Linked DNA regions of Oryzias latipes. The protein of the gene in region 2 binds, or shares a complex with, the protein of the main gene of each other region. Links are inferred from orthologs where the notes say so. Each region holds a gene or a part of one and is shown on either strand. Other genes may lie near its edges.

The links. The genes of interacting proteins can lie anywhere in the genome.
Region 1: cnot9 (region 2) and cnot8 share a complex: the UniProt entries of both Homo sapiens proteins name them as parts of the CCR4-NOT complex. The link is inferred for Oryzias latipes from reciprocal best matches to the Homo sapiens genes CNOT9 and CNOT8.

What each region holds. Positions count from the first base shown.
Region 1 is NC_019872.2:29,379,154-29,389,674, forward strand, and holds cnot8 (CCR4-NOT transcription complex subunit 8), read left to right. Parts: upstream 1-1,668; 5' UTR 1,669-1,767; exon of another isoform or gene 1,768-1,938; intron 1,939-2,669; 5' UTR 2,670-2,751; coding exon 2,752-2,868; intron 2,869-3,002; coding exon 3,003-3,196; intron 3,197-3,637; coding exon 3,638-3,799; intron 3,800-4,678; coding exon 4,679-4,823; intron 4,824-4,911; coding exon 4,912-5,022; intron 5,023-6,479; coding exon 6,480-6,608; 3' UTR 6,609-7,020; downstream 7,021-10,521. Other genes in the region: protein FAM114A2, read left to right, coding at 1-72. UniProt on the Homo sapiens protein: Has 3'-5' poly(A) exoribonuclease activity for synthetic poly(A) RNA substrate. Its function seems to be partially redundant with that of CNOT7.
Region 2 is NC_019879.2:16,420,675-16,431,943, forward strand, and holds cnot9 (CCR4-NOT transcription complex subunit 9), read right to left. Parts: upstream 7,627-11,269; 5' UTR 7,267-7,626; coding exon 7,249-7,266; intron 6,777-7,248; coding exon 6,591-6,776; intron 6,447-6,590; coding exon 6,331-6,446; intron 5,904-6,330; coding exon 5,794-5,903; intron 5,667-5,793; coding exon 5,557-5,666; intron 5,365-5,556; coding exon 5,266-5,364; intron 1,836-5,265; coding exon 1,744-1,835; intron 1,295-1,743; coding exon 1,126-1,294; 3' UTR 558-1,125; downstream 1-557. Other genes in the region: usp37 (ubiquitin carboxyl-terminal hydrolase 37), read left to right, coding at 8,745-8,918, 9,720-9,870, 10,328-10,416, 11,249-11,269. UniProt on the Homo sapiens protein: Component of the CCR4-NOT complex which is one of the major cellular mRNA deadenylases and is linked to various cellular processes including bulk mRNA degradation, miRNA-mediated repression, translational repression during translational initiation and general transcription regulation.

The DNA of each region.
Region 1 (10,521 bases), on a different chromosome or scaffold from region 2:
CTTCTCATGCCGATCCTGGAGATCTCCCACATCCAGAGGAGCGCCGCGTCTCCAGAGAACCGACGCCGCTGAAAGCCTTTTGAAGAACTTCGGCCGGAAGGAGAAAAGCTTTTAGTCGCACCGTTCTGGGGGTTTGTGAAGCACAGAAGCAAACATGAGGCGTCCTGACCTACAGGGACTCCACTGCTTCTGCAGAAACAAACAGGGAAACACTTTATTATCACACTTCTGCTCAAAAAATTCTTTTAATGAAAAAAATCGAATGAAAACTTGTAGGGTAAGGTGGGACGCTTTAAATAAGAAAAAAAAAATTAAAAACAAAAATCTGAAACAATTAGAAACGACCCAAAAATGTGTGATGTTTGCACTTTTGTCCCGGTATCTTTGTTGTTTTTCTCCGAAGGTTCTTTGACTCTCCCCATCAGCAGAGACGCTGTCGCCCTTAAGGGTCATCTAGGGATTCTGACTCAGAGTTGCCTCACCTGAGCACGAGTAAAGGAGGGTTCCTCGCTGCACTTGTAACCTCCACCAAGGCTTAGTGCTACATGGAGGGGTGGGGTCCCGTGGGAGGATGGGTTCTGCCCCCAGGCGGTAGCAGACAGAAGTCATTTTACTACTAATCAATAAAGAAGCTTCTGCAGTCACTTTGCGTTGACGAAGCAGAAGCAGCTTCACCTGCAAGGTGGCCTTCAAAGCCACACCCTCTTTTTAATAATTTTCCTTATTTTTAATCCCCTGCTGTTGTTTTACTTTATTATGAAGTTGTTCTTCTGTGTTTTTCCCTTAAAGCTGCAGCTGTTTCTGTGCTAAACATGATGTTTCTGTGGAGGACTGAAACTCACTTCATTCAATTGTGTAAAAATGTAAAATAAAAGGGTTCGGATGGACCGATTTGAACGCTGTTTTTCATTAGTTTCCTGTGACTTTTTGTCAAATCTTTTCCTTTCATGGTCATTGGTATCACATGGTCTACAGAGGGAACTACAGAGGGAGCAGCATGTGCAGCAGCTGCTCTTTCACCATTTTTTACCTCATCTAGGTTTCCGCGTCGCTCAGCAGATGCGTGTTTGGGGAAAGAAATACACATTCGTTTATACATTAAAAATACAGTTTCACATGAAAATACCTGTAAAACACAAGGAGTAATGAATGTTTCAATGAAATGTTGATATTCAAACAAAAACATGATATACCTACATGTCTCATGCTGTCTTTCATATGTTAAACTAAATTCATATTTACATTTTAATTATATGTGTATTGGAACCGTTACAAAGGTTATCATGGTTGAGTCCTGCACAATATAACCATCATATAGTTTGATAAATAATGTTTATTCTAATGTGTTCTCTGCTTGGCATTTTAGTTACATATTTGGGTTTATTGTTTTCAGTTTACAAACTTTTTTTTAAATAGTGTTTTTTTTTGTATTTCTGACATTTTTATTATGATTATTCCTATAATTTATTAAAAAGGTACAATGAATGACCCATTTACTGCATGGATGAGGGCCTTTAGGAAAAAATTTGTGTTGAAGTAGTTAATATGAATTTGACATATGAATATATTTAAGTAACAAAAAAATGTAAAGATAAGTCATACATTTTTATTTAATGGATGGATGTCAACAAATGAAGTAGCGTTGTGGAGCTTCCGCTCCGGACCGGCAGGGGGCAGTGTGCACGTTTATAGTCCACTCCAAACCGGAAGTGAGACGGTAGGAAATGAAGGAAGCAGACGACAGCGTTGTGTCGAGGGAATTTTAAGGTAAACCGGTTACCTAATTAAACGACTACATTTTTTTTCCCGGGCAGCTTCAGTCAGATTAAACACTTTAACAGGGCCACGTCATTTATTTATTCTTCAATGCTGCGTCATCTCTGCAACTTGACCGCGCGCGAATATTAACGTCTATGCTAACTGTTAGCATCGATCACGGTTTGTTTTCATTTTCTTTTCTGCTTAAGAACAATTTTAAAGTATATTTGTTTTATTTATAGTGTTAGAATGATTGAAAATATCGGTTTTATATTTGTATTTCGGCTGAAGTTAAATTAGTAAAGCCAGTTCCGCACTACAGTCAGTACGGAGTCGGCTGTCATGGCAACAACAGCGTTTTTTTAATGCTGTTCTTTGTTGTTTCTATTTTTATTGTTAGTTTTTGCTCGTTTTGAGAGCCTCCATACAGCGTGTACTTTCATTATATATAAAGATCTATGTGGAAACGCGTCAGGTAGACTGTAAAAATCCCAGTTACAGACTACAGAAACGTCATTTTACCATGTAACTTTCAGTGCTGCTGTTGAACTGATTTTTTTTTTAAACCAAATATATGGTGACACCCAAGACTACTTGGTGGATTATTACATACAGAAAGCAGTTAGTCTTCAATCTATCAATAGCATTTTGAATCAAATTGATGCTGTGAAACAGGGAAACAATTGTTAAGGGGTCAAAGCAGGACAGAGTAAAGACACGGTTTGACCCTGCATTTGACCTTAGATCAGTAAATGATGCCATCATGACTGGGTAACTTTTGAATAAATTAAGTAGACTCTTATTAGATGCTCAGCTTCCAAAGATTCCCTATTTTTATGTTGTATACTTGTGATGATTTGACGGCATTACTCTGAGATTTAAGTACGTTTTTTCTAAATCTCCTTTCGCAGTTCTTTTTTTGTTGCACGGTCCCCCTTCCCACCCCCCCTTGAAGCCCTGCAGGACCGTCGGGTCTCCTAGGAACCTGCCAACATGCCAGCTGCTCTTCAAGATTCCAGCCAGATGATCTGTGAAGTCTGGGCGAGCAACGTGGGGGAAGAGATGAGGAAGATACGGCAAATTATCCAAAGCTACAACTACGTTGCCATGGTTACAGGCTCTCCTTTCTTTGTTGACAGTTGAATTCTAAAAAGAAAAACAAAGAACGTAAATGTGGTGATTGCAAATGTGTGCTAGTCTCTTCCTTTCCTGGAGTGTCCTAACCCTGCATTTCTGTGTCTTAGGACACGGAGTTTCCCGGAGTCGTGGTCCGACCCATAGGCGAGTTTCGCAGTACGGTAGATTACCAGTACCAGCTGCTGCGGTGCAACGTGGATCTGCTGAAGATCATCCAGCTTGGTCTCACATTCATGAACGAGGATGGGGATTACCCCCCCGGCACGACCACGTGGCAATTCAACTTCAAGTTCAACCTGACGTAGGTGCTTCGTCGTCTCATGGGACTGAAAACGTTCGCTGCTTCCTGTCAACCTGCTGGCAGCCTAAGCCACTTATGTGCTATGATGACAACAGTCTTTAAAAATAATAAAAAACATAAACAGAGACGCCTGTAAATTAAACTCCAGTACGTAAGCCTTAAACAGGCTGTGAAAGATGCAATGAGCCACTTCTCCACTAGGAGACAGTATTTCACACAGAAGTTTGTGCCTCAGCTGTTCTACTGTGGTGTTAAACTGCATGAACTTTTTACTTTTTTTTTTTTATTAGATGTATTTTAATAATTAAAAAAAGGTTGATTTACATTTTTGTTTACTCCTTTTCATAAATCTCTGAAAAGTGAAAGGTTCACAGGTTTTCTAGTGAAATAAGATGATCAAGTCCTGAAATGATCCTTGATGTTCTCTAACGTTGTGTGCAGTGAGGATATGTACTCCCAGGACTCCATAGACCTGCTCCAGAACTCGGGTCTGCAGTTCAAAAAACACGAAGAAGAAGGAATCGACACGCTGTACTTCGCCGAGCTCCTCATGACGTCGGGTCTGGTTCTGTGTGAGAACGTCAAGTGGCTGTCCTTCCACAGGTCGGTTGTCTGCTGGCTTGTTCCATGAACGGGGGTGGGAGGGGGTCTTCTGTTTGATCTTTCAGAAATCATAAAATATAATTAAAATCACTTTAACCCAGTAGAACCCACGGTGACGTCAGTGTAACAGAAAATATCAGAAATGGATTCTTTGGTCCATTTGGTTTGTGGTTAAAATATGCACTTTATTTTAAACAACAAATGGGTCTGGGTACTTATGGGTTAACACCAGAATAGAGATCCAGATAAAACAATGTAAGCAGGTCAAAAACATCTCTTTTACTCTGAACTTAATCCTTGTCAGAGGAAAAACTTCTCTGGGATCTTCAGGGAGAAATTTCAGAGATTAGCTGCATGGAGCTGAATTCTGAGCTCCAGTTAAAGTTCTGCCTCTGGTTCATTCCAAATATGATCTCTGATGCTAAAGCATGAAGAGACTTGAACAGAAGCAGAACTATTTGAAAGGCTGTTGTGTGACCTCGGGACTGATGGTCAAAATCAGAAGCGGAGCAGCAGCGTTCTGGATGAACTGCTGCTTCTTTTCTGGGTCCAGACGTTACAGCAGTCTGACCTGCTGGAGACAAACTCCACAATAAACTGGTATCTTAGTCCTCTTTGGTTCTGCTGATGTTTCTTAGACGATATAATGTAGATGACGTTCAAGATTATGGAACTTTAAGTCTTTGCAGAGCTTTTTAGAGCGACCGTCACCATTTTCCCTGTCTTCCTCTGAGACAGACACGATCTAGAAAAGGTTTCTGGGATGCTGCTTCTATTCACATTGATAGTAAACTTTTGCAGAACCTCTGAAACTGTTCAATGTCTAGAGGAGTTGATTCTCTGAGTTTTTAATCATTAATAATTTTTGTTTTGTCTCAGTGGTTATGACTTTGGCTATCTGGTGAAACTCCTGACGGATGCGCGGCTTCCAGAGGAGGAACACGAGTTCTTTCAGATCTTAAACTTGTTTTTTCCTGCAATTTACGATGTGAAGTATTTGATGAAGAGCTGCAAAAGTCTGAAGGTAAGGCCTGCGGGTCACAGGGTTTATTGCTTTCTACATCCCCGAGGAACGTGGAGCCGTCTCACTCCGTCTCCGCTTGTTCCTGCAGGGGGGGTTGCAGGAAGTGGCCGATCAGCTGGAGCTGAAGAGGATTGGCCGGCAGCATCAGGCGGGGTCGGATTCGCTGCTCACGGGCATGGCTTTCTTCAGGATGAAGGAGGTACAGTCTTCATCGTTTTCCGGCTGACAGCTGTTCTGTTGCAGCTGGAAGTTTTTGTGAATCTGCTTAGATGGTTTATAAAATGTCTTTCGAGAAATGCATTTATAAATGCGTAGAATTGTAGATCTTTAGTGTTTTATGTGTGGACATACACTCACCCACTTTAGCAGCTCCACTTTGCTTGTACCCTCTTTAGCCTTCAGAACCGCCTTAATCCTCTGTGGTTTAGAATCAGCAAGGTTCTGGAAACATTCCTCAGAGACTTTGGTCCATGTTGACATGACAGCATCAGTTGCTGCAGATTTGTCAGCTGTACATCCATGATGCCGATCTCCAGTTCCACCGCATCCCAAAGGTTCTCTATTGGGTTCTGGTGACTGTGGAGGCAGTTTGAGTCCAGAGAACTCATTGTCATGTTCTAGAAACCAGTCTGAGATGATTCCAGCTTCATGACATGGAGCCTTATCCTGCTGGAAGTAGCATCAGAAGATGGTCCACTGTGGTCATGAAGGGATGGACATGGTCAGCATCAATACTCTGGTAGACTGTGGTGCTGGAACCATGCTCAGTTGGTACAAAGAAAACATCCCCACACCATGACACCACCACCACCAGCCTGAACCGTTGATACAGGGCAGGATGGATCCATGCTTTCATTTTGTTGAGGCCAGATTCTGACTCTACCATCTGAATGTGGCAGCAGAAATGGAGACTCATCAGACCAGACAACGTTTTTCCATCTTCTATGGTCCAGTTTTGGTGAGTCTGTGTGAATTGTAGCCTCAGTTTCCTGTTCTTAGCTGACAGCAGTGGTACCCGGTGTGGTCTTCTGCTGCTGTAGTCCATCTGCCTCCAGGTTGGACGGGTTGTTCTTTCATTGATGCTCTTCTGCAGACCTCTGTTGGAACCAGTGGTTCTTTGAGTTCCTGTTGTCTTCTATCAGCTGGAACCAATCTGACCTCTGGCACCAACGAGGCATTTCCATCCACAGAACTGCTGCTCTCTGGATGTTTTCTCTTTAAGGACCGTTCTTTGTAAACCCTAGAGATGGTTGTGGGTGAAAATCCCAGTAGATCAGCAGTTTCTGAAATCCTCAGACCAGCCCGTCTGGAACCAACAAGCACGTTCAGAGTCCCTTCAATCACCTTTCTTCCTCGTTCTGATGCTCGGTTTGATCGTCTGGACCATGTCTAATTAATGCACAGAGCTGCTGCCATGTGATTGGCTGGTTGGACAGGTGTGCCTAATAAAGTCGCCGCAGTTCAATAAAAAGGCTGCTTTGTTTCATTTATTTCATTTTATTTCATCTGAAAATGTGAAACTTTAGCATCAGCTGGATTATTATGAACACATCAAAAATGTCATTTCTTAATTGTCTGCAGGTTTGTGGATGTTTGGTTCAGTGTGAAGGTGGTGCAGAAATAATCCCAACAGACTCGTTTGTTTGTCTGTCGCAGCTTTTCTTCGAGGACAACATCGACGACGCCAAATACTGCGGGAGGCTGTACGGCCTCGGCTCCGGCTCCAGTCAGCCGCAGAACGGCCTCGCCGGCTCCACGGGCGATGAGGCCAACAACAAGCACTGAGCCCCCCCCCCAGAGTGTTTTAAAAGCCAACCAGCGGGTTTCTGCTCCCATCTTCTCACTAAATACCCCAATGTGAGCCCTCACCGCCTCTGCAGGCTGCAGTGGCCCCGCCCCTCATGGCAGTCAGCAGTGGCCCCCTCCCCGGGCTCGCTCTTTCTTTTAGTCACTTTTTACTTCATTTCCAAACACTTTTTAAAACGCCTCATTTGCAGCATGGGACCAGCTTCAGGATGATTCTGCCCCCCAGCAGGATCTCCTTGTAGGTTACACTCATGTAAATGAACATGTTTTAGCTCATGTCCACTCAGAAGGTGGTGGTTCTCCAGCAGACCACACTCTTCCGCTCACTGTTTTTACATTCTGCATCGTTGTCAACAGTTGTATATTAAATTGTTTTGTATTTTCAGTGTAATCGTGGAGCGTTTGGTCATTTCTGGACAATCCTTTTATTCTGTTCTTCAAACACCTCTGTGGTCAAGTCAAAGCGATGCTCAGAAATGACTCGTCAGAACCGGGATCTAGAGCCGAGTCATGTTTTAGGAAAGAGAGGACGAGCATGCTTGGGGAAACTGGGCTAAACCTGGTCCTCGGTTCTTACAGGTGGGGCAGAACAGGGGTCTTCAGCATCATCTCTGCTCCTCCTGCTGGAAGGTGGACGAAGGCGTGTTCTGCAGCAGACTAAGAGAAAAGGCAGCAGGGAAAGAAAGAACTTTGACAGAAACTTAGTGGACGTGACGGGCAGCAGAACTTTGGATCTCCTGTGTGATCAAGAGATCAGAGGAAAGAGTGCTGGGCCTCGCCGGTCGGGCCATGTTTACAACACTTATTGTGGACCCCCTCTTCCCTGGGGTGTCCTCCTCCTGGGCGGGGACGGCTGGCCCCTGCCTTGCTCCTTCCTGGACCAACCGTGGGCCGGGCGGATGGCTGCCTGGAGTGCGGGTCGGGTCTCCCTTGGGGGGTCCTGGCTCGTACCTGGGGTTTGGGCGGGGGGATGCCCGGAACTCCTCGGTGGTGATGGGGTGCTCGTCTGGGGCTGTGGGTGTTCTTCTGGGGCGGTGCCCCGCGTTGAGCCTTCCCGGCGTAGCGGTGGGGCTGCTCTCCTGTTAGGCCGGAGCAGCACTCTCTTTACCCCATCCCTCCCCTGCTCTCTGCCTCTGGGGGGCCGCAATGGTCCTGCTGGCCCTGGCCTGGGTGGCGGATGTGATCGCCCAGGGGGGGCGGTTGTCCTCCATCTGGTACCGTGCGGGTGTTGGGGAGTCTTGGTGTGGGGGTGGCTGGTCACTCTCTCTCCTTCTTTTCACATTCCACCATCCATTTTAGAAGAACATAAACACTCACCTGAGCACAGGTGTTAGCTCACCTTTGCACTAATAGTTTGCATGATTGAATGAAATATTTCACACTAGTTGGTTTAAAGGCATAAGTATGCGTGTGTGAACACTATCTGTTTTGTGTACATGTGGACATTTTTTGCAGCTAACGGGTGTGTTGATAATATTTGAGTGTGTGGACAGGCCCCGCCCTTTTTGTACTACATTTACATTTACATTTTACAGTAAACTTGTTGCTTTATGCTGCTTCATGGTCTTATCCCCCCTCCCACTATCACCCCCCCCCCCCTCTCTAACATTCCTCTCTCTTCTTCCTTTCTTTCCCTTTCCGTCCGGTCCAACACCAAAGATTTTCAAACATGATTGAAATTAATAAATTTTGGCCTCAATTACAAAAGGGGTTTATTCAGACACACCTTTGGTTTGTCAGAAGATGAATAACCCCTGTTGTTAAAGTAAAATATGTCCAACACAAGAGGCCCTCAGCTCTCATCTGTCTGCCCAGCTGTTGGACAGGACAAGTTAAAATAAATAAAAAGAGACCAGAGGAAAGAGGACAAAGCTGCTTTAAGACATCTGATCTTGATGAGGCTGGAAAGACTTGGATCCTGAAGCAGAGCAGGTAGAATGTGAGGTCCAGCGGGACAAGTCACACATCCTGCAGGTTGTTCCACCAAAACTCTGACTTTGGTCTGTTGTGTTTATCATGACTTCATGAAAGACTAAATGTGAGAAAGAGTCCAGATAATCATTTTGATTCATTTTTAACGAATGTATGTGTATAATGGAGCAGAACATATAGCAAACGTTCATCTCATCACTGAAAGAGGTCAAAGGTCTCCTGAAGGTCTTCAGGTTCGGTATGTGATGTTTTGGGACATTCACCATTGATTCTCTGATTGAAAACCCTCCAGAACCACAAAATGCTCTTTACGTAGCCACTTTCTTGTTGCCATGACGATGTGTTTGCGATCACTGACACGTTCTCTTTCCTGGAAGAGTTTCTCGTCCAAAATCTCACCATGCATGGATCCATTCATCCTTTCCTTCATAAGGACCGGTCGTTCTGTGCTCTCAGCAGAAAAACAGGCCCATAACATGATGATTCCACCCCCATGCTTCACGGTGCGTCTGTGTTCTCTTCCAAACCCAGCAAGTGGCGTTTATACCAAAGAGTTCCGTTTTGGTCTCATCTGACCACCTGACTTCCTCCTCATCCTCCGGATCATCTGGACAGGAAGGGGGGCCTTTTGGAGCACTGGAGGACGTTGTGTGTTACCATAGTAACCGGAGTTACTGTGACCCCAGCTCTCCTCAGGTCATCGATCACTTTCCCTGTGACGTTCTGGGCTGCTCCTCACCGTTCTAAAGATCACGGAGATCTTCCATGAAGCTCCAGGTGGAGAGAGATTTGAAGGGTCCAAGCAGAACCTGACCCAAACTAAAAGGTCTGTTAGGAGATGCTAATGTCTTTACATGAACAGAATTTACTAAATGTTAAACCACAAAAAATGGAGTTAATCTACTAATTAATATATAAATGATTATATGTACTGTTCTATGATAGAATCACAGTCATTATATGGGCCCAATATTTATTCACATTTAAATATATGAATGGGCAGTTTTTTTACCCCTTAGCAGATGAGTGTTCAGATGCACAGAACAAGAATCCACCTGAACATCAGATCTACAGCAGAAACCTGGACCCAGAAAGTCCGGAGCTGCAGAAAACTCCTGCGGTTCTCCCTGCTGGACTTTAGCTCAGAATGATCTTCATCAAACATCCCATAGAAACTCCCAAAATGGGCAACACGCTGACACACAAACCGTCGCCGATAACAAAAGGCAGAGGGCAGCAGAGCAGTCAGGAGAATCTGGTCTCCACTTTGGAGAAACCTTCTCAACAAGCGGGGGTCTGAGGCCCTTCCATGTTCAAGCCGGCCTCCATGTCTGTGTCCACATGCTCCACCAGCTGCTAGAGCCGAAGGACGTCCCAGAGACATCTTCCATGGTCCAGCCACGCTGAAGAACAGAGTCCTGCGAGGGGGCGGAGTCAAAGCAGGAGAAATGTCTGAGTTTGACTCCACCTGTAGCCTCCATCAGCTGCTGAAGTCACGCTTCCATGCTGTTCTAGCACCACCTAGTGGCCAAGCGTGGTAACAATCACTACCACCAAAAGTTTCCTCAAAACATTTGAACTGAACTTTTGTAATTTACCAAACATTTGGAGTTTCTTTTTTTTTACTTTGTGTAACCCTTGTGCTATCTTAGATGACCCCCCCCCCCTTCCATTGAGGTGTTCTCCCTACCATGACAAAGGTGGATAAAGGTGGAAAGATTTCATGTAATCCATGGACACCAGTGAAGATCACAAATCATTGAAGAAAAAAGGTTCATAGCACTGTCTAGTGGGTCTAGATGACCCAACTCCCAATGTTAGAGTGCCTAGGATAGAACAAGGGGTAAGAATTAGTATAATAATCAAAAATAGTTTAAATAATTAGTTTATAGTTTAACTGTTCCTCAGTTCTGAGCTCAGATCCTGAACTTTATGAGGTTTAACCACTTTTATAAATGCT
Region 2 (11,269 bases):
CAGACATTAAACAACCAGAGAATTAATGCTCCACTGCTAACAATTGAAGCCTTTATAATGCAAAAACAATAGAACGCTTAAATAGACAGATGCCTAATCAATTATCAATAAACATCTCCAAGATTACTTTCTAAGAATACTTTACATGACAGTACAAGTAGTTTTCTTGTTTGGAAATATTTTGACAGGAATATTTCAAGAGAAAATGTGCTTATTATTCCAGTGTGTTATTCCATAATCCATCCAGATAAATATCCTTTAAAAAATTGGCCACTTGGGACAGCCGTCTTTCCAAGACTAAAGGGAGGAGTTCCTCTAATTGCACTTCTCATTCACACAACATCCTGAGTTTGATCATCCTCTGGAAAAGTCTTAAAGGTCAAACAAACAAATGGTGACTTTTTAAAAATGTTTACAATTATGTATCCAAAAAAGTGTAGCTGTAAATAGACAAAATATCAGAGAATGACTGTTAAACCTTAACAACCACTTACTGTAGAATATTTGTGATTTCCTGCTCACTATTATCATAGAACTAATGCAAATTAAAATGCTCATTTTAGAAGCAAAACCAGCTTTTATTGGAAGTTACAGAAAGATCGAGTGGTAACAATAAAAAGCGCCAGCATCAGATTTAAGAACAGTTTTCAGGATGACTTGCAGAAAAATGCTGTTTGAGAAAAATCTTGGATGTAGTTTCCTAACTTTCATATGTTGTTTCTTTCAGAAAATTTTAAAGCAGAAACGGGGCTGAAGTTGCAAGTTTTCCCTTAAATGCAACATAATGTACCTCAACATTTCACAAACATCTTTGACAAAAAAAGGGTAGCAAGAAAGAAATTTGTCTCAGTCAATATTTGAGCCAGTTGCTCATATAAAATGAAGTAATGTACTAGGCGTCCAAATGAGTCAGGCTTGAAAATCAGATTTTTAAGGTTTTTTATAAAAGTGTACAGTTTTGACAACAACCCTATCTTTAGAAAAACAAACTAAAGCAAAAGAAAAACATCTCTTATTTTAAGCCTCTCCAGTGCATAGCTTTAGCACCAAATTTGGCAAAAAACACCAAGTGAGTCCATTTGTGTCCATTGGAACCACACCCCCTCACTGTGGATTGAAGCTCCATCACTGTGGAGCAAGTGGGATGCCTCTAGCATCGGTAACTTGGCCTTCCTGCAAGTTCTTCACTAGTTGTGCGAGCCAGCGCTTGGTGGTGGTGTCGTCCTTCAGCACCTGTGCAAAGGTGTTGTCCTTTAACTGGTCTGGTAGACACTGACGAAGGGCCTCTCTGGCTCTGAGAAAAGAAAACCAAATGTCAAATCACTGTAGGACATATGTAACTTCTCATATATCAGCCAATCAGAAAATAAACATTTGTTTATACAGCATTTTTAAAAGTTCTAAAAAAAAAAAAAGCTGATCATTGTAAATCTTTTATCACTTTTGATTAATTCAGACAACTGTTACCCTTCTTTTCCAAGTTTCATTATCCCAAAAATGCATGTTTCATCCAAAATAGGAAAGAAAGAAATATCTGAAGGCATTATGTGGAATTCCCATTTACCGGTAAGTTGCTATATGCTTGTTTTTGCAGCACTTTTAACCAGTAGAAACACATTAAGTAATGATAGTTGCAAAAAACACAGATCAAATTCTATTTTTTTTTTTGCAATCAAAATAGTTGTTTTCCAGGAACTTTAGGATAAATAAAAAAGGCAAATTTAGTCACGGAGACTGTTTTACCTTAGGTTATCAGAGAGGCGAAGATAGCAGCGGACAACGTGTTTCAGCAGACGAGCTGATGGCTCTTTGGAGAGCTGCAGCACCATCTTGCCCTGCACAGATAAAATGATCGTATTATTGTGGTGTGTAGCATACAGTCAGGACCGTAAATATTTGGATAGACACATTCTTTATAATTTAGTTTCTGTACATTACCACAGTGAGTTTTAAATAAAACTTAGATGCCGTTGAAGTGCAGACTTTCAGCTTTTATTCCATGGGTTGAACAAAAAGATTGCATAAAAATGTGAAAAACTAAAGCATTTTTTAAACACAATCCCTTCATTTCATGGGCTCGTAAATAATTGGATAATTGACTTCCATGCTATTGCATGGGCAGGTGTGGGTAATTCCCTTGTTATGTCATTATGAGTGAAGCCGATAAAAGGCCTGGAGAAGATTAGAGGACTCATGCTTGCATTTGGAAGATTTTTCTGTGAACAGACAACATGCGGTCAAAGGAGCTCTCCATGCAGGGGAAAAGAGCCATCATTAAGCTGAGAAAACAGAAAAAAAACATGCCAGAAATTGCTACAGTATTAGGAGTGGCAAAATCAACAGTGTGGTACATCCTGAGAAAGACAGAAAGCACTGGTGAACTCAGCAACGCAAAAAGACCTGGGGCCTCATTTATAAACGTTGCGTACGCACAAAAGAAGGCGTACGCCACTCTCTACGCAATAATTGAGATTTATAAAAAGCAAACTTGACGGGAAAATGTGCGGTCCTTCACGCAAGCTCTGACCCAGGCGTACGCACAAAAACGGGTGAAATGAGAAACGGCGACACCGTCGGCAGATGGAAGAAACACATGAAAGTGAAAATGACAATACTGCCTCTCAGAAATAACATGAAGACTTCACAAAGCAAGTCTTACAATTAACAGCTACACGAACACCCGTTTGATCGATCAGCAGTGAAACAAACAAAAAAATCAAACGAAAATTACAACAGAAATTCAAATGAACACATATTTGCAAAAAGAAAAGTGAAATATGTTCTACAATATTGGCATGTAGTGCAATTCATCCTCATAAACAATATAGTTAACAGAACGAAATAATGTACAAAACTGATATTCTCGTTAATGTGTCCGTCTGGCGGAGCAGATATTGGTGCAATTAGACAGACAGACAGACAGACATTAATTGTCCACTGGTGAAAGTTGTTTTCATATTAAAACATTTCTTCATAAGGCATAAGCTATGGAATTATGGTATTCATGCATATGCCTTTAGTTTGTTTTATTTTTGATAAAACAATGTATAGCGTATGTCTCAACCATTCAGAAAGCAACAAGAAATTACATTTGCGCTGATCAATTTCCCATTTCCACGTCGATTATTACCGACATCTGTAGCTTGTCAGATGTAATTAAATGGATGGAAATAAAATGCCCCATCACAATGCGTAATGACGCTCAATGGCTTATCTTGCGCTCTTAGAAGATGTGGCAAATGGAAGAATTCGGAGTGAACGCATATTTAGACAGCAAGAAGACTTCCTGGCAAACGAGGATGAGTGGCTTATGAGCCGGTTCCGACTTCCTCGAGCTGTCCGGCGGTTCGGCAAGATGGCGGACCGCGAGCATACAGTGTTCTAAACTCTGCAGAAGTTTGCGTGCCAAACCCTGTCTATTAGTAACAAGACAACAAATGAATACACTGACTGACTACCGGTAAGAGAGCTTGCTTAAAAAAAAAAATAAAGAAAAAAAAAACGAACTTAATATTACTTACTCGCTCTGGGAGTTCCTGCTGGGGAAGATCTTTCAATCCACCACTATTTGCGACTGCTAGCTAGCTATTGCTAACGCCATGCCGAAACGAGATAAAATCAAGGGAACATGATAATGGACACAGATGAAGAGGGCGCAGGTTCTGCTTGTGCACTGCTGCTTGAATCTCCTGCTTCAAGTCCTCTGTCAAAGAAACAGTGTTCAGGAAAAAAAGAAGAACAGGTGTCAAATGCTGATATTTTACATGCAATTCGCGAATTAACGGGCAGATTTGCTTCCCTTGAAGAAAAGATCTGCAGAAACACTGCAGATATTGTAACCATCAAAGAAGTGGTGGAAGGCTTGGATCACCAGGTTAAAAAAAGCGAGGAAAGGATGCAAGAGGTGAATCACAGATTTTCAGATCTGGAGATGAAGACCGATGAGATGGAACGGTACAGTCGCAGGTGGAATCTGAAGATGTTCAACCTTCCTTAATCCACAAATGAAACAACGGAGGAAACAAGAGGAAAAGTTTTTGAGGTTTTTGCCCAGATAGCTCCAGAAGAAAGGCAGAAATTTGGCTTTCTGATTGACACAGTGCATCGCGTGGGACAGCGTAAAGATGAAAGCAGGCCTCGACCAGTCATCATTCAATTCACATTGCGAGTCTTCAGGCAGAAAATCTGGAGGCGTCAAAGGATGCTGCAGTCATGAAGGAAAAGAAGCTTCGCATCGCCGAAGATTTAACCTTCCGTGAAAGGCAGAACAGAGGAAAGATCTGGCCGTTGGTGGAAAAAGCTCGGAAAGAAGGAAAGAAAGCCACCTGGAGAGGACAGGATGCCATCATCGATGGAAAGAGAGTTTCAGCTGAAAATCTAAAAAACTGATTGATGTAACTGTAAAGGTCGGTAATTAAGAAATATTCCCTTTGCAACAGTCATTTGTTGGCTTAGAATTTACCTTATGAAGGCATGTCAAACTTTCAACAAGTTTTTGTTTCCAACTTATCCCTAAAGCTAGGTAAGTTGGTATAGAATTGTTATTTGTTCTTATTTTCAAGTTCTGTGTTCTATGAGCTATGACTGATTTTAAGTTTAACTCTTTAAAAATAATTTCTTTAAATGTTAGGGGACTACGTGATACAACCAAGAGAAAAGCATTATTTCTTTTTCTTAGAAGAACTGGCGGAAATATTTTTCTGTTGCAAGAAACTCATTCTTGTGGGTTGGATGAAAAATTTTGGAAATCTAAAAAAAAAAAAAAAAAAAAAAAAAAAAAAAAAAAAAAAAATCCTCGAGCTGTCCTGTTGGACCTCTGCGGGCTTTTGGGGGTATGTCACCCGGTGCATCTGGCGCGTCGGTGTTCCCCCTGCGCCTCAGTCACCACACCACTTAAAAGGGATTCCCCAATTATTACCGCCAGTCTCTCATCAAGAGAGGTCAGCTCAGGCTGTCATTGCCAACAAAGGGTTTTCCACCAAATATTAGTAATGACCATTTTGTTTTCAGTTATTTAATTTGTCCAATTACTTAGGAGCCCAAGAAATGAAGGGATTGTGTTTAAAAAATGCTTTAGTTTTTCACATTTTTATACAATCTTTTTGTTCAACCAAGGCTGAAAGTCTGCACTTCAATGGCATCTGAGTTGATCTGAGAGACACGTTAGAAAAAACGTGTCTCTGTCCAAATATTTATGGTCTTGACTGTACATCTTTATCACAACAATGCTATAGGTGCACAACACAAAAATCCTAAAATACTTACAAGAATCATGGCGACATGGGAAAAACGTTCATAAGTCTGACATATGTAAGCCAACCCAGTGTCATCCAGCAGGATCTTTTGCAGTATGAAAGTAGCAACCTGATAAAAAAAAAAGAATTATAGTCAATGGTAGAAACATGAGTTAAATTCATACCATAGATAAATGCATGAGAGTAGGTTTTAGAAAACCAAAACCCAAATCTGTTAACACATATTTTGAATGTTTGACTCCAAAATCCATTTTTTTCTTCCTGCTTGATAAAAACTGCTTTTGATTTCATTGGTAATTACCGTCTTGGAGAGTTCACTTCCAGATTCCATGATGCGAAGACAGAGTGGGATGATTTCCGTAGTAAGAAGGAAGTTTATCACTTCTTGTTCATCGGTTTTCACCAATGCACCTGTCAAGAACACACAAACAAATCAAGATCTGACATAAACAGAATTATCAGAGCAATACCTAAAAGAGAAGACTTTTTAAATTAAAAGTAAAATCAACAAAAACATGATCTCAGCAGGAGAAATTACCTATGACTCCTAGACTGGTAAGTCGCAGGTACTCAAATGGACGCGTTTTACTCACAGTGTGCAGAAAAGGGTAAAGGAAAAGAGGAATATGGGCAGCTAGAAATGCTGACCTGGTGTGGACAAAACAAATAAAATCATATTAATCAATGTAACACATTAAACCTTGCAAATGGAAATAAGTTCGTTTTTTTTTTTAAATTATAGTGAATTGAGGAATTACATAACAAAACCTTAATATTAAACAATTTATTTAGACCATGGCCTTAATAAAAATGAAAATACTATATTTATTATCTTTTAACCGCTTTAAACTGAAGATCTGCAAAGGCTAAATGCTGGAAAAATCCACTATTCTGTATGATGTATGTATTAAAAGTGACTGATGACTGTTACTTTTTAAACAAATAATAAACAAATAAATAAAACAGATTGTGGTCTGTTACCCCTTTAAAACATTATAAGAGCAGTTAATTATTAGAATTACTAAAAATAAAAAATAAAAATCTGATTTTTCAGTAACAATAACTATCTTGTTACCGTGTCTCTGGATGTGAGGCAACACACTGCAAAAGTGCCAGGGCATTACACACTCTATTTGACTGGTGGGCTGTAAGGGTTGGTGGGTTAATAGACGGATAGATGTTTACTATTTCCTGAAAAAAAAAAAAAGGAGGACAATTTAATTAACAAAAGGAGTTGTTTAACACCACTACAAAAATAAAGACCATACAAGAGGCACAGATGCACAAACAGTCCCAATGGGATGACCTGTGTCAAATGAACAGGTGGACCAATACCTGCAACAGGGCAGCAATGGTGCCACATGAATGCCAGAGCATTGGGGCCAAGTCTGGCACGGATTCTCGCTTCTTGCTGAGCTCCAGCAAAGCATTCTCTCTAGTCTCTGGACTGGACAACTCATTGATCCACTGGTAAATCTTCTCACGGTCTACTTGGGCCAGGGCTGTGACGTTGGTTACAGCCTTTGATAGGAAGAAAATATCAATCCATTCGCAATCAATTCTTTAAACAAGCAAACAAACGAAACACTCAAGAACAAAAACATTACGCTAATTAAGATATATGTAACCTACGTTTAATTTCCCCCTTCTGCAAACCCAAATCATGAAGAGGAAATGACAGCGTGTAAATTTGTTAAATGTCTGCTATGACAAATTGGGGCAAAATCAAATTATTTGTCAATTTAACTACAAAAACGTCTCATGATTTGCCAACTGCAATACATGTATACCAAAACCATACTGTACTACATTTGTACGAGGCTTTCATTAATATTATGCAGTCTTTCTTTGAAAACTGCAAAGAGAAGTTCTGCTTTAAAATTAATTCAATAAAGAAAGCTGAAATTTGGGAGGAAAAAAAAGATTTTCGATGTACTTAGGCGAAATTGGAGGGAACGTCACCGTGAGAGCGATGCAATAGTTTGATACTCACCGCTCCCGTTGCCAACATTTTGGAAAGCTTTTCGGGATCTCAAAATACTCTTTTAATAGAAAGTTCGTCAGTTTGCACCTCTTCGCAATACTCGACCCTGAAATCTCACCGTAAGAACCATGGACATATGCTTACGAACTGCTAGCTTAGCTAGTTGCTAGGTGCTCTAACAAATGGGATCCACAACATGCGTAACTTCACATAACTTCAATCGAAATCCCAACACTGAGAACTACAGAAGCACAAAAAGAAATTATTGTCGTTATAGTATCAATAAACCAAGTTTACACTGGCATTTTTTTCAATCTCGCGTTTGATTTTTTTTCCTCGGCAGGGACAACTTCGCTACAAACAACGTCTCAGATATCGCGAGAGGAGAACGGAGCGCAATCTCGTTCATCATTTCCGTTGTAAATGTTCCCATTCCCGCCATCATCGCCCGTTGCTGTGAGGCGTAGTGTGCTGCTCTACTTGCAGCAAACATACAGAACAGCAGGTGAATGCCGGCAAAACCTTTTTTATGCTCTCGAAGGATCTGCGAAGTCAAGTCCACATTCTATAGGTTTGGAACCACCACCGTGATCCTAGACAGGTAATGAAATGACGATGGCACTGAATGTGGTTGTTTTCATCACCAAATTACTGTGTTAGCTAGCTCCCGCTAGCTTAGGAACCAGTGTTGCTAATGTGGGCCTCTTCCATCATATTAAGCGTCTGTTAAAGAAACAAAAACGCCACTGCATGCTTCACATTTAATATTAGATTCATGTTATTCGACTAGTTCGTTGATAGACTGATATTTTTGTTTATATCGTTTGAATCTATGGTTCTGGCCGCGCCACGAGCATCACAACGCAGCTCAAAATGTGTTGCTTCTCCTCTGCAACATTGGAGTTGTCAGTGTTTGTTGTTTAAATGCAGGCTCTACACAAACATGTTTAAAACTAAAATTCAATGACCGTTCAGGATATGCAGTTTGTTATATTTTGTGATTTTTGTGGTGCAGTAATTCATATTGTACTGTTATGCTAACTTGTCACTTTGGATTATGAAGTCCTACCTTTTTCCTTTACTTCAAACCGCATTTGCCATGTTGGCTACGTATCTACATATCTCATATTAGTTTTGTTTCTGTATCTTTTATTTATTTATTATTATAATTTTGAATAACACATTTCAAGTTTTTAGCAAATGTTATTGTTGGCTACAAATTAAATCACTTATAATCTTCAGAATGGCACGTCGGTGCTGCATGTTCTGTAAAAAAAACAATATAGCAAACTAGTTACAAAAATACTAACTTCTTGTTATGTGGCATTTAGCAATGGTAAAAATATTCATTTAAACTGTTTATTTGGTTAAATAGCAATAGCAGTCATAAAAGTGAGGTTGTTTTTGCCATTATAGGCTACCCGTGTGACTATTTCTTGACATGTTTATTTCTTTTGTACATCTTAAATTCAGACCTAACAAGTGGACCATCAGGATAGCAAGCCATGTCAACTTTTGTGCCCAAACTCTCCAGTGGTAGCACTGTCAAGATTCGCTTTAACACCATTGAGCTGGGCGGCACCAAGTGGAAAGAGGGAACCTTTGAAATTTTGGAAAAGGATAACAGAGTTAATCTCTGTTTAAGGTTCAGCTGTGGTGGCGCTGCCAAAACTTTCCAGGTAATTTCTCTTTAATGTATTTTATCTGTATGCTTGTTGGTGTTGTGACAGATATTTAGCATTAGGCATGATGTTTCTGTCATCCCTACTTAGACATTTTTTTAAATTAGTGTAATTTATTCCATTTTGGATAGAACTACACCTATTATTTTATCTCAATTAAAAATTTCAAGCACATCATATGTTGCTGGAGGAAGTTAAATTTCCGTAAATTCAGGTGAACACCTTGCTTGTTTACTTACTGCCACTAAGGGGTGTATTTTCACATCAGCAAAGATCTGATACAAAACCTAAAACTAATTTAGCACATCATTTACATCTTTAAAACAATGTAGTTTCACTATAGGAAAGTCCTGAGCCTTTATTTTGTTGAACACTTGTAAAAATATAAAGTTCACAGTTGAAAGTACCAAGCCCTCAACTTTAATTGCTTAAAAGTAAAATTTCTAATATTTTGTAATTTTGTTGTGTAACAAATCAAAATATTCACCCCTGTGTGAGGAATCAGCTTGTGCTGTAATGTAATTCAGTTTTATGTTATTTTATAATAAACATATGTAAAACATAATTCTCTTTCACAGAGCCTTTAGTGTTGTAGAAAAGCAGAAGTAAAATATAACTTTTCTGAGTTGTTTTATCGACATCGCTTTAACCCTTTCTATGTTAATCAGGTGATACTGACATAAATATGCTATCTGTTAAAAAGGAAATCAGCAGATGAAAAGTTAACATTGTTTTTGAAGTGCTTTGGTGTCTATCTCTTACATGTGTTTTTTTTAAAGAGTGTATTGTTTTTTTCAGCTGAACCATAATGTGAAAAGCATTTCTCAGAATCCAAATCGGATCATGTTGACTCTGAAGGACAATGTTGTCATTTACTTGGATAAGATGCCTCAGCCATTGGTTCAGAGGACAAAGGAGTATCTGGAAAAACTGAAACAGGGAAAATCTGGTAATTACACTACTTCTCTTTTTTTAACCCAACAAAAACTTTATGTAAAATATTCCTTAAATTATTGACTGCCTAGATTGAAATTTAATTTGTCTGTCAAAACCCCTTTTTATTTTTCCAAGAACTGTATAACTGCTAAAATACTCAATCTTATTTTATTTAGATTCACAAGTTCAAAATTCAGAAAGGTTTGGTCCACTTTTTAAAAATGTCCATGCCAAAAACATTTTTGTTTGAATATGAATATATATTTAGTTATGTTTTCCAAGTAGAAAGTTGTTCTGTACTTTTTTAAGCCATCATTGCTGAATAAAAACCAGTTGCAAATCAGTCATAAAAATTAAATGTAATCAATATGCTATTGTGTCTTCGGTGCATTTTTGCAGAAAACCTTTATTCTTTAAGTAACTGATTTTATTATCATTTTTGTTCTCATCTTTTCTATCTCTTCATGTAGTTTTAAAGTCCTCCTATGGAAGTGCAAACCTAAGCGTACTTGGCAACCGCTCTATGAAAAATGAGACCAACGTATCAGGAGAGAGACAGGTGAGCAAAGCAACTTTGACTTTGATGACACTGAATGTATAATAGAACTGGACTGAGTGACCCCTCCGCCCTTCAAATTCCAAACAGGAAGTACCTGCAGGCCCCCACCTTGAATGTTCAAAATTAACACTTGACAGAGTCTCCCAAGTCCACTTTCAGTGGAAGGGGTGTGGACTTCTAATAATCTCACTCCTGATTGGTGACAGCAGTTGCTATAGACAGATTGATTTAGACCGATTCTGCCCAATCCCTGCTTACTGACCTTGTCTGGCTACAAATGGTGGTGCAAAAATGGCGACAGAGTTGGCAGAGTTTTCTATGAGTGACGCCACACTCCCTCGTCCAGTTCTCTTATACAAGTTGAGTAGGGCTGCACGATATGAGGAAAACTCGCGATATGCAATATTGGTGATTAATATCGCGATAACGATATAATTTGCGGTATATAAACAAATAGCCAAACAACCAAAAACATCATTTACATTTCACTGCAACAGTTTAAAAATGATACTCCAAATGACCCTGGTCGACGTAGGAGGCAAACATCAAACATAAAAGGGCTCCATCTGATTGATCAACAAGGTAAACGGGTCCTTCCGATTGGTTAAATGCATAAAGGGATTAATTTCATTTGTTCACTATTTCAGGCTGCCATGAGTTTGTTTTTGCACATTTGAGGTAACCGTTTATTGCGATTTTCGCCGTCTTTTGCGGTATGCATATTGCACAGCTTGATGTCGCGATAACGATAAATTTGCGGTATATTGTGCAGGCCTAAAGTTGAGGATTAAATAATAATGCAGACTCAGCATTTCAGCCAAAATTGTTTTAGACAACACCAAGGCGACAGAGT